Cricetulus griseus: one gene and its partner. The protein of the gene in region 1 interacts with the protein of each later gene in a pairwise test. Links are inferred from orthologs where the notes say so. Each region holds a gene or a part of one and is shown on either strand. Other genes may lie near its edges.

The links. The genes of interacting proteins can lie anywhere in the genome.
Region 2: the proteins of Ccnc (region 1) and Nmnat1 interact in binary tests that used the Homo sapiens proteins (3 or more experiments, as listed by UniProt). The two-hybrid records come from large-scale screens. The link is inferred for Cricetulus griseus from reciprocal best matches to the Homo sapiens genes CCNC and NMNAT1.

The regions. Positions count from the first base shown.
Region 1 is NC_048595.1:119,720,122-119,726,685, forward strand, and holds the start of Ccnc (cyclin-C), read right to left. Parts: upstream 3,922-6,564; 5' UTR 3,756-3,921; coding exon 3,724-3,755; intron 2,729-3,723; exon of another isoform or gene 2,594-2,728; intron 1,439-2,593; coding exon 1,332-1,438; intron 330-1,331; coding exon 245-329; intron 82-244; coding exon 12-81; intron 1-11. UniProt on the Homo sapiens protein: Component of the Mediator complex, a coactivator involved in regulated gene transcription of nearly all RNA polymerase II-dependent genes.
Region 2 is NC_048595.1:6,906,723-6,912,664, forward strand, and holds part of Nmnat1 (nicotinamide/nicotinic acid mononucleotide adenylyltransferase 1), read left to right. Parts: intron 1-3,541; coding exon 3,542-3,709; intron 3,710-5,102; coding exon 5,103-5,286; intron 5,287-5,942.

The DNA.
Region 1 (6,564 bases):
TTGTTTTATACCTCTACTTTGGATGCCAGAAACACACATGTAGGAGCCATTAATACAGGATCTATACTTTTCAGAGAATACCTAAAACATGATTAGACAAGAGTTAAATTATGTCCATTTAGAAGACACACTGGGTAATCAGGCAATCATAATTCTATAGCAATCAAGTGACTTACTTATATATGGCATATGGAAATCAGAAGAGAACCTCAAACAGGCTAACAAAAAAATAAAACAGCCATACCTGGCATAGAACCTCTTGAAATAGACTGTAGCAGTAGCAATAACCTGTTGTCTTAATTTAAGATGTTCACCTAATGCTTGGATGACTAAAAGGGAAATAATAAAATTTTAATGTTTCACCTGGCACCATTATAGTAACATTAATAACATTAACTTTTAACAGTAATTTCTACATGTTAGAATTATGTCCACTCATAGCTAGGCACTCTCTGACACCCTCTGATCCACAGCTGCCTAAGACTTGCAAATATAGCAACATGCAAAACCAAGAAATAGAAACCACCTACAAGTTATCTTGCTATAAGGAAGTTGACTATCAAATATTCCTTTTAATACTTTTCAGATTATTTTCATAAAAAGTCCTAACTCTTGCAGAAGACCCAAGTTCCATTCCCAGCACCCACATGGTGGCTCACAATCATTTGTAACTCCAGTCCCTAGGGATCCAAGCCTCCTTGTCACTATATAACATATAGTGCACAGATACACATGCAGGCAAAATACCCATACATAAAAAAAAATAAAATTTATTTTAAAAAATACCAGGCAACAAAGCTATCCCAGCAGAGTAAAGGTCTCCTGACTAAACCCCCTTCTTTTTTTTTTGTTTTTTGTTTTTTGTTTTTTGTTTTTAGAGACAGGGTTTCTTTATGGCTTTGGAGGCTGTCCTGGAACTAGCTCTTATAGACCATACTGGTCTTGAACTCACAGAGATCCACCTGCCTCTGCCTCCCAAGTTCTGGGATTAAAGGCATTCACCACCACCACCCCGATTTAAACCCCCTTCTTCCTAATGTAAAATTATAAGGTAAAAATGACAACTACAGGATGCCAATTTAAAGAATTACTTATTTTTACTTTGTCTTAACCAACCTTAAAAGAGGCCGCACTAGAAATACCCAAGGACATTAGCTAACACTGTGCTTCCAACACATAAAGTGCAAAAAGTGTTACCAAGCACACTAAAACGATAAATGTATAAATAAGAACATTAACTATAGACTGCAATAATCCATTGAAAATTACCACAAACAAGTCTCAAAGGTGACCAGCTATACTATACTACTTCAACCAACTTAAAATTGTACCATTTGTAAAAAATATTTGTAACTTCCAATACTCTTCTTCTGAGAGAAATTTTAAGTCCTTCTGGCGCTCTTTCAACAGATCTTGTTTATCCAAAATCCACTGCAAACTGGAAAAAGTAAAGAAGATAATAAAACACAGTGTAGAACGCCAACAAGCAAAAGCACCTAAAACTTTTTAAGATTTAACAAGCTGATCTATTCTAAGAAGTACATTCCTTTTTTTCTCCTCTGAGACAGGGTTTCTCTTGTAGTCATGGCTGTCCTGGAACTCACTTCTGTAGACCAGGCTGGCTTCACATTCAGAGATCCACCTGCCAACAACACCTCACCCCCATCACTGCTAGGTTTAAAGGCATGTGGTAACATACCCAGCTTCTTCTTCTTTGGAGGTACATCCGTAAAAGACAATGTCTGGATAGAAATATATCAGAGGTAGACAAAGCACTAGCCTATCTCTGAAATACACACACACACACACACACACACACACACACACACACACACACTCACTCACACACACACACACACACACACACACACACACACACACACACACACACTCTTAGCATTAATTCTTCTAAATAGGTCTCTAAAATATTGAGTAAATTATATAAAACAATGAAAATCTTGAGTCCTTCAACACATGTTCACCCATTTTAAGCAGATTCTGCCTCAGAGGAAAATAAATATTTTTCTAATGAGATTTTTTTTTTCAACCAGAATTTTCACTATCATCCCTCAAGTTTCACAGTCTTGTCGACAAACCAATTTAATCCCTTTGGTTCTTGACACTACTTGTTGACTGTTTTGCTGACTATCTTCAAATAATTCTGTGTCAGTTTGCTGTGTTTGACTCTCATTCAGTCTGGTCACTAAATAAGGATGTCATTTTAAACTCTCAGGGGAGTCACTCATATGATTTCTCTAGCTTTTCAGCAGCTCACCTACAGTCTCAGCAGGAAAAAATAGGAGAACTTGAGGGCAAAGAATTGGCTTTAATCCCAGCACTCTGGAGACAGAGGCAGGCGGATCTCTGTGAGTTAGAGACAAGTCTTGTCTACAAGAGCTAGTTCCAGGACTTGGGCGCGCGCGGGGGGGGGGGGGGGAGGATATGTCTCTTGATGTTTTTCAAAGGCTCTCTACTTTTTTCCAGACTTCTTTCATACTGTCATTTGTACAAAGAGCCAGCACACTGGTTCTCGAAACCCTTGATACAAAGGCCCTTCCTCAAAGATAGATTCTTACTATACCCAAAGACTTACTGTCTGTTCCAGTATTACGTCACTGAGACAGACGATGAAGGCAGTCCAAGTGCCAGAATTACAGGCTCCAACTTAATTCCGCCTTTTTGAGTCATCTCCTTCTGTATTTCAACTTCATCTAAAACATCTCAGTGACTGTAAACAACCAGAAATACTATGTCGCATAGTGATGCTCCACGAGCAGCTCATCTCCCTAAAATCACTTTGTAGCAAGAGAAAACATGCTTTCCAGAAACAGGTTTACAAACTCACTGTTTCCTTCTTCCCCGTTCTTGGGGTAAAGAGGAAAAGGAGCCAATCCAATTCACAGAACTAAAATTTCGTTAGTTTCTTCACCCTAAGATTTACTTAAGCTACGATGTCTTGTATTAAGTCCCGTTCAGTTTTTAAGTATTCAGTGAAAAACCTGCTCAAAGCTTAGCCAGATCACACAACCTCGCTGCACGTTTAACCAATGCATTTAGAGAGAAATGTCTCAAATATTACTTTAGCCCTTCCATGACCACTGACAGGCAGGCACCCGAATTCACTCATTTAAATGGTTCAAGGAATAGATAAAACCTGAGAAATACACACTTTTAACGCAAAACAGAAGACACTGGCTAATGAATGAAAATGCATACATGTTGAGAGCAACTGCGCTCTCTATATTCTAGGGGCATAAACGTCTACTGAGAAGCCGGGAAGTGGTGGCGCACGACTCAGGAGGAAGAGGCAGGGGCAAACAAACCAACAAACCAAAAACCGGATCGACAATCTAGGCAATATTAGATCTGCAAGTAAGGCGAATGACAAGAGATTGTAACGTCTTTGCTCTCAACAAGACCTAGCAAAAGCAACCCATACCCGTCCGAACAGGCTACAACGTGCCTGTGCCCACATCATCCCACTCACAGCTAACCCCCAAATACAAACTGAAACAGCCTCAGTCTTCCGTCGGACACCTGTCCTCTCGCCCATCCTTCAGGCTCACCCAGCCCCCGAGGCTCCGAGGCCCGCCAACAAGCTCGCCTAGCTTCCCCGGGAGGGCTCGCCCACACTCCAAGATCCGCAGGCCCTAGGGAGTCGCAGGCCCAGTCCTCCCCGGGCCCCAGAACCAGTCCCGCGGGAGCAAACGGAAGCTCACTCACTAGTGGGAGCTCTGCCAGAAGTTCCCTGCCATGGAATACTGCGGGCCCTGATACAAAAGCACCAGCCAGCAGAGCGGCCCACGGAGCCACCATAGACCCAGTCCAGCCGGGCGCGCTCCTCAACCAGGCTGGCTGGGCTGAGCTCCGCAGCGACCGCCGCCGGAGGAAGAGAACAGCGCCGTCGTCGCCTAGACGCCGGTCCGCAACACGGAATTGCGTACACCGGTTCCGGATGACAAAAGTTCCGGCCCGCCTTAGCGCCGGAGAAAGCGAGCAGACAGACACGAGAGAGGCCGGAGGCCGGAGACCGGAACTAGAGCAAGCAGAGGCGGAAGCTCGCGGTGGAGAGCCGCTCTCCCGAGAGCTCCGCCCTAGAGCAGGCACCTTCTGGATTTCTGCTGCTTTGCAGTTTTTCTTCTGGATCCGTCTAGGCATCTTGCTAACCCACCTAGAATAGTACTGTGGCATTGTAAGAAAGCGTAACATATGTGTGATTGCTCGTTTTCCTAGCATTGGAAGGAGAAATAGATTTAAGCGCTCTTAGTGACTTCTGCCGGAGCTGAGCCTAACGAGTTAATGGGTTTTCGTGTGGACATTTTAGAATAGCAGCAATCTTTTAATGTCAGAGCCATCGTTTGTCCACCTGAAAACATATGGGCGTATGAATACACATCTAGCCACACGGATGCACATGCATGCCCCAAAATTGAAATACTACAGAAATGCAATAATTTAGTTTTACAGAACGAGCAATAGCGAGTTTCTATTATTGTAACATGCACTCAGTACCTCACTTCAGTGGCTGAGGCAGGGACAGTAGGAATTTCAGGTCAGTCCTTGTTTCCTGCCTCCAGAATGCCAGGATTAAAGGCGTGTGCCACCATGCCGGGGCCTACTCTTAGCTTCTATTACATAAGAAAGCCTAAATTACAGTACAGATGAAAAAGAACTTGGTTTTAGTTAACACGGTGCTGTCTTGATATGAGAAAGAACTTCTCTGTCTGACCACTAGCTCCTGATACATAAAACAGTTATCTCTGCAGTGACCGATGATTGTGTTGATTTACAGTACTAGTTCATACAGTTTGGGGGGAATTTCAGGGTTCACTTTTTGGATTCAGTTAGTTGGGAATGGCTGTTGAAGAACAAAATATGTATCAATAAAAAATGTTAGGAGAGGCTAGACAGATGGCTCAGAAGTTGAGTGTGTTTGTGGCTCTGTCAGAAGACTAGAGTTAGTTCCCAGCACACACATCAGGTGGCTTATAACCACCTGCTGCAATGGCCAGCCCCAGGGGATCAACAATTTCTAGCCGCCATGGGTAGCTGCATGTACTGTGCATGTCTACACACACACACACACACACACACACACACACCTTTAAATTTTATTTTTAATTGAAATTTAATTATATTACATCATTTCTCTCCTTCCTCTTCCCCCTCCTTGAGTGGATTGACAGTCTGGTTAGTTCCGACCCCTATGTAGTATGGGGGTCAGGGGTCTAAGCATAACCAGCAATCCTGGCCAGTTTCTAACTGGGATTAACTTGAGAGGTGGGACTCTGGCCCAGGTATGTTAAATGCTTTTGAAGGGGAGAGGTGGTTGGAGCCTTAGCCCACGAAGGAGATCTTTGTTGAGACCCAAAGTTCTGGGAGCCTGGGGGGCGGGCAGTTTTTTTCTGGATAGTAATTCTATATCCAGAGTCCTTTCCTGTGGCATAGAGTCATCAGGTTCTCCCTATTTCCCAAAGCCGGAATATTTAAGGAATTCTTTAGACCTTTATCTTATGGCCATTAGATTACATTTTCCTATTGTGCATTCCTTGGAGGGGGGCGTCGTGTGTGTGTGTGTGTGTGTGTGTGTGTGTGTGTGTGTGTGTGTGTGTGAGTGTGTGTGTGAGTGTGTGTGTGTGTGTGTGTGTGTGTTTGTGTTTATCGGTTTGTTTTCAGGAAGCCTCTGTTTTACAATCCCAATTATTTATTTATTTTTATATATTTGAATTACAAACAAGATTGAATTACATGACGATCCCAGTTCCCTTCTCCCTCCCTTCCTCCTCTACCACCCCACCCCCAACTAAAATCCTACCTGTCATATGTCCTTTCTTCTAATCTACACCTGACTCAAAATTTCTGCTTCCTTGTGACCTCTGCATCCTTCCTTTTCTTCCCTTCTCACTCTCGTAGCTTCCTCCCCCCTCTTCCCATGTTCTCAATTTGCTCAGGGCACAATCCCAATTTTTTACAATGGACACTCCCTTGTCTTTGTTGATTAGTGGGCTTAGCCACAGGGAATGCATAGAATTGTAAACTCTGTATTTTTAATCTCAAAAGATAAGTGCCCACATCTTTCCTTTCCTTAATACAACCAGACATTTAAAATGGGCATCAGTGAGTAAAGTTCTAGATGAATATGAGTTGCTTGTCTGTAATCTTGATACCCATCACCTGTCTGTACTGCAGCCTGTGTGAGAGACTGCAGGAACCTGCCATGTGGCTTAGCTCATGGCTCGATGGCAGCTTCCAGGAGACACAACGAACAGCCAACAGGAGAGACTAGAAAGCTGTGTTTGATACCATTTGTGTGTGTTTAGAATGTTTTAAAAGCTTTTTCAGGTCTTATATGGATGTAGGTGCCAGATGTTGGGTGCCATATTTGGAGACACTCTATTTGGCATCCTTATCTGTGGCTTCTGCTTTCTTAATCTGGGTGTGGCAGATCCATGGTATAATGGCAGCTACCTTCCATTTCATGTTGTTCCCAGCACTCCTTTGGATAGCCGCTACCAGACAACATCACCAGACTTGAACAAGAGGAAACTGGTGGTAGATTCAGAG
Region 2 (5,942 bases), about 110 Mb from region 1:
AATGGTTGTTGATACCTTCCAAATCTACACTATGTATAACAGCTGCAGCAGCTTCAGAACAAGGTGAGGGGTCAGGCTGAAAGTTACAACAGCGCGTCCTTTCAGAGGGTGGTGGTGAGAGGCGGTCTGGCCAGGCAGGTCGTTTAACTGTGGGCCAGCATGGCTTTAGACTGAGCATCCGGAAATGGGACAAGGAGAGCCAGCAGAGTCACAGTGGTCTTTGAAACAGTGGTAGCTGTGAGTTAATGCTTCCATCATGATATCTTTAAAACTCAAAAGATGGGTGATTTAGAAGTAAATTTTAGTTGGATCTGAAGACTGCCCCAGGAAGCAATGAACCTTTGACACAGTGTGCTGGGGAGGAACACTTACAGCCTGAGCCGATGGGACCTCGGCAGCCAGCAGTGCAGGTGATAGGCTGTGTGGACCAAACAAAAGTGAATCATGGCGACACTGGTCCGGCAGCATTCAGAACAGTTCTGTCTGAGACTCCACACCCAATGTTACCGCCATGTTGGACAGGTCACGATGTAGGAGCTCACTGTAACTTAACCCTCTGTGGCTTGGAGAGTCTAGCTAAGGTGGCTGAGTTGGTAAAGCCGGGATGGATATATGAGACAGGTCACCAATGTGATAAAGGACAAAGACTGCCTCCTGTACTCTGAGGGATCAGCTTCCACCAGCCTCCTCATTCCCCAGGGGAAGGAAACCTGAGGTCCTCCTAGAGCACTGGGGCTGGGAGCATTTTGATTCATCTCGGTTTCTAGAGCCCAGGCGACCCCTTGACTCCCTCCACCCCATGTAGTCAGCCTTCCTTCCACTCTGCTCTCCTTTGGGCATGGTGTCTAGAACATGTCTTGGGCGTGCCCAGGGCTAGTATATACTCCAGTTCCCTAGGCCACAGTTCTATGAAGATGCTGCCTTTTTTTGAGACAGAGTCTCCTGTATCCCAGGCTGTCCTTGAACTTCTGTATGTGTACACGTGGAAGCCAGCATCAGTATCTGGTGTCATCCTCAATAGCTGCTCAGTTTACCTTTTGAAATAGGTCTCACACAAAACTTAGAGCCTGTTGATTGAACTACACTGGCTGGCTCTGTTTCTCCAGGGCTGGGGTTAGAGGTGTGTACTGCCAACCCAGTGCACACCCGTGTGTGAGTTCGTGCATGTGTGTGAGTGGGTGCGTGTGCTTATGCATGAGAGAGAGAGAGAGAGAGAGAGAGAGAGAGAGAGAGAGAGAGAGTGTGTGCTTGTTTTTTCAAGAGCTTTATAAATTACCTTTTTTTTTCTATGCAGGCAATTGAACACCTCATAAATGTTAGGCAAGTGTTCTGTTACTTAGCTATGTCCTTGTAGCTGGAATTTCTTTCCAGCCTAGTCCCACAGCCCCAAATAAGCACACAGAGATGTATTAATTATAAACTGTTTGGCCAATGGCTCAGACTTCTTATTTGCTAGCTCTCTGTTATTAACCCATTTCTATTCATCTAAGTATTTCCACGTGGTTTTTTTTTACCAGAGAAGGGTCCAGACCTGTTACTCCTTCCTTGGCTACATGGTGCCTCCTTGCGGCCTCTGTCTGCCTCCTCTTCCCCAGCATTCTCCTTGTCTGGTAGCCCCACCTATACTTCCTGCCTGGCTACTGGCCAATCAGTGTTTTATTCATCAACCAATAAGATAAACATATATACAGAAAGACATCCCCATCAGATCCCCAGCCCTGTGAATTACTTTAATAAAATTATAAAACCCGAAGTGACATCCATCAGTAAATATTCATTTCTCCTTGTGACTCAGGACCACCTGAGGGTTTGCTGACCATGTGCCTCTGGTATTTCCTGGGTCTGTTGTGGGAATGAGCATCTTGGCTGTGGCTTAGCCGGCCTCTGATGGCTGCAATCACCAGCCCTGGGGTGGCTGGGATACAGCTGTCATACCACAGCAATCTAGCATGGTAGATCCTCTGAGATGGTTTAGGTGTTGTCTGAGTATTTCTTCAGAAGTCCACATGCTGAAAGCTTGGTGTCCAGTGTGGCTGAGGTCGTTCCTTCCAGAGAGGTGCCTAGCAGAAGGCAAGTCATGAGGGTGAAGTGGTTTTCAGAAGAACAGGTTTTTGTTTAGTTTTTTTGGTTGGTTGGTATTTCTTTTGAGACAGGGTATCTATGTGTAGTTGTGACTGTCTTAGGATTTGCTCTGTAAATCAGGCAACCTCAGAGATCCACCTGCCTTTGCCTCCCGAGTGCTGGGATTAGAGGTGTGTGCCACCACCTCTCGGCCTAATTATTCTTAATAATAAAAACTCTTGAGCCCGGCAGTGGTGGCTCACACCTTTGATCCCAGCACTCGGGAGGCAGGAGCAGATGGATCTCTGTGAGTTGAGGCCAGTCTGGACTACAGATCAAGTTCCAGGACAGCCAAGGCTATTACACAGAGAAATAATATCTCAAAAAAACAAGAAAAAACAACAACAAAAAACAACTTGGAGTCAGCTTTCGGGGGTGAAAGCTGAAAGATCAGAGAAGCAGAGCGGCCAACCACTAGAGAGTTCTTACCACTACCAGTGCTCAGACCAAAAGGGCAATCCTGTCTCTACAAATGCTCAGATTGCCCAAACTCCTGTCTCCTCCTGCCTTATATTCCTCTCTCTGCCCAGCCATATTGCTCCTAGTTCTACCTCCTTAGTGCTAGGATTAAAGAAGTGTCACTCCTAGTGCTGAGATCACCTTTGTATGAGTTCTGTTTCTCTTTTAGGCAAATTCAGTGTCGTGTAGCCCAGGGTGGCCTTGAACTCACAGAGATCTGTCTGCCTCTGTCTCCCCGAGTGCTGGGATTAAAGGTATGTGCCACCACACCTGGCCCCTATGGCTAACTCGTGGTTTAGCTCTGCACTCTGATCTTCAGGCAATCTTTATTTTTTATAGCCGAAATAAAATATCACCTCAGGACTGGTTCACTTTCTCTTTTTCCACCATGCTGTGATGCAGCCAGGATACTGATGCTAATTTCTTAGGCCTTTAGAATCTCTTTTCTTTAAAATGTACCCAGCCTTAGCCAGTCATGGTAGCATACATGTAATCCCAGCACTTGGAATGTGAAGGCAAGAGGATCAGAAGTTCAAAGGTATCCTTCACTACATACCACTTTTAGGCCAACCTGGGCTATGGAGCCTTGTCACTGTCTCCCCCTGTGTCCCTCTCCCACACGCTGGAATTAGAGACATGCTAGCCTCTAGCGTGTTGTTATATGTTACTATAACACCAGAAAACTCTGTGACTATAATTTCTTCCAAGTGCTAGGCTCAGAACTAATATGCTATCCTTTCAGCCATAATCATTTGAGCAAAGTGAATCATAAGGAATAGAGACTTATATCCCATTCCACTTGGTAGGAACTGCACACACATAAGCAAAGGCTGAAAGCGAAGCCAGTTTTGCAGTTCATCTCAGTCAGTGAAGCCAAGTATTTTGCCCACCTGTTTGCAGGGAGAACATGGGCAGATGTCAAGAGAATTATAAATGAGCTTGTTTCCTTTTTCCTCTGTAGACAGCAGTGGAGTCAGAGGTTTCCATTTAGATCACCAACTCCAGCTTCTCCCCATGGACACATCCGAGAAAACAGAAGTGGTTCTCCTGGCCTGTGGTTCTTTTAACCCCATCACCAACATGCACCTCAGGCTGTTTGAGCTGGGCAAGGACTACATGAATGCAACAGGTAGGAGCAGTAACCCAGGTAACTTAGGGCTAGAGACAAAGCTGGGCAGTGGTGATGGTGCACGCCTTTAACACTAGCACTCAGGAGGCAAAGGCAGGTGGATCTCTGAGAGCTGAAGCCAGACTGGTCTACAGAGCAAGTTCTAGGACAGCCAGGGCTACAACAGAGAAACCCTGCCTTCAAAATACAAAAAACAAATGAAACAAAACAAAACAAAAAAAGACTAGAGATGCACTTGACTGAGTGTGAACGCCTTATTCTGGACACAAGCAAGTTGTTCTGTTTCCTGGTATAGAGATTTAGCCAAAAGCTAATGGAGCCAGTAAGGTGGCTCCTCAGGGAAAAGTGCTTGTTGCAAAGTATGTGGCAAGAAGGTACAACTAAAGCTGGGTGTGGTGTTGCATGTCCTTAATCTCTGTGAGTTCCATACCAGCGTGGTCTGCATAGCAAGTTCCTGGACAGCCAGGACTACACAGAGAGACCCTGTCTCAGGGGAAGAAAGAGAAAGAGAAAGAGGAGGTGTGCATGGATCAGAAGATGGCGGGGCTGAGCAGACACTGTCAGGGGAGTGCTTGATTGGTGTTGTCAAGCCCCTAGGTGAGGAAGGACAATCCCTGCATCTGTTCTAGGTGAACAATGCAAATTGAGTCAGGCTCTTAACAAAGAATTCAGCACTTCTGGTTGGAATTCTGACCAACAAGAATTTTAAGTGTAAGCTGTGTGGGTGAACCCAGAGTGAGTGTGTTAGGGGTGTAGGGCTTTAGTTGGAGAAGGTGAAATTTGTGAAGGTTGTTAACAGTGTGCATGTGCTCAACATTTAGGATTGTACAGTTAAAATACTTCAAATGATAACTTTTGTAATATGTTATTACAGGTTCTTTTCTACATTAAAAACTCTATTTACTTACATGGGGTCAGTGCGGTATTGTGTGTGACAGGGTGTGGATGAGGAGGAGGTCAGTTGGAGAAGTCTGGTCTCTCCTTTCACCATGAGTGTCCTGAGGATTGAACTCTGATCATCAGTCTGACAGCACACTCCTTTATCAATGGAGCCGTCTTGCCAAACCCTTACCACAGTTTCAATTTAGCTACTAAATTTGACTCTTTGTTTAAAAAGGAGGAGTGGCTGGGCGGTGGTGGCACATGCCTTTAATCCCAGCACTCAGGAGGTAGAGACAGGCGGATCTCTGTGAGTTCGAGACCAGCTTGGTCTATAAGAGCTAGTTCCAGGACAGCCTTCAAAGACACAGAGAAACCTTGTCTCGAAAAACCAAAAAAAAAAAAAAAAAAAGGGGAGGGGGAGGGATTGTAACTAGGAGCTAATAAATTGTTATAATTTCTGCCCATAAAATCTGATTTGTTATCCCTCATATCAACCCAACTGTGTATCCAGGAAAATACAGGGTTATCAAAGGCATAATTTCTCCTGTTGGCGATGCGTACAAGAAGAAAGGGCTCATCCCTGCCCACCACCGAATCATCATGGCAGAACTTGCCACCAAGAACTCGCACTGGCTGGAAGTGGACACATGGGAAAGTCTCCAGAAGGAGTGGGTGGAGACTGTGAAGGTGCTCAGGTAACAGTGGCACAGTCTATACTGTTGGTTCTAGGGATCCTTCCCATTGCCATGTATTTTTTTCAGTTCCGCCTGCTCTGATTGACAGGTCTGTATCAGTTAGTGTCCTGTTGCTGTGAAGAGAAGCCATGACCAATGCTTATGAAAGAAAGCATTTACCTGGGGGCTGGTGTACAGTTTCAGAGGCTTAGTCCATTATCATCCCGACAGGGAGCCCCGTGGCACATAGTGTGCCCGACCTGAAGGAACAGTAGCTGAGAGCTTGGTCTGATTAGCAGACCAAGAGAGGCACCCAGGCCTTGGCATAGGCCTTTGAAATATTAGAGCCCACTCCCCAGAGGCACACTTCCTCTCCAAAGGCCACACCTTCTAACCATTCTAATCCTTTCAAATAGTGCCAGTCCCTAGTGACTAAGCATTTGGATATATGAGCCTGTGGGGGCCACTCTTACTCAAACCACCACAGAGGGCTGCACCTTCCTGCACCACAGGCTGTTGAGCACAGCAGCAGAGCTCAGACACACCTGAGCCCATGTGTCTTTCAGCATGAGGTGAGATGTTGACAAGGTTGTTCGTCAGACATGTCTCTGTCAGAAAATAAAGGAAGCAAACCTGGCCTTCCTGTCTGATGGGAGAAAGACAGAGTTCCTCAAGGA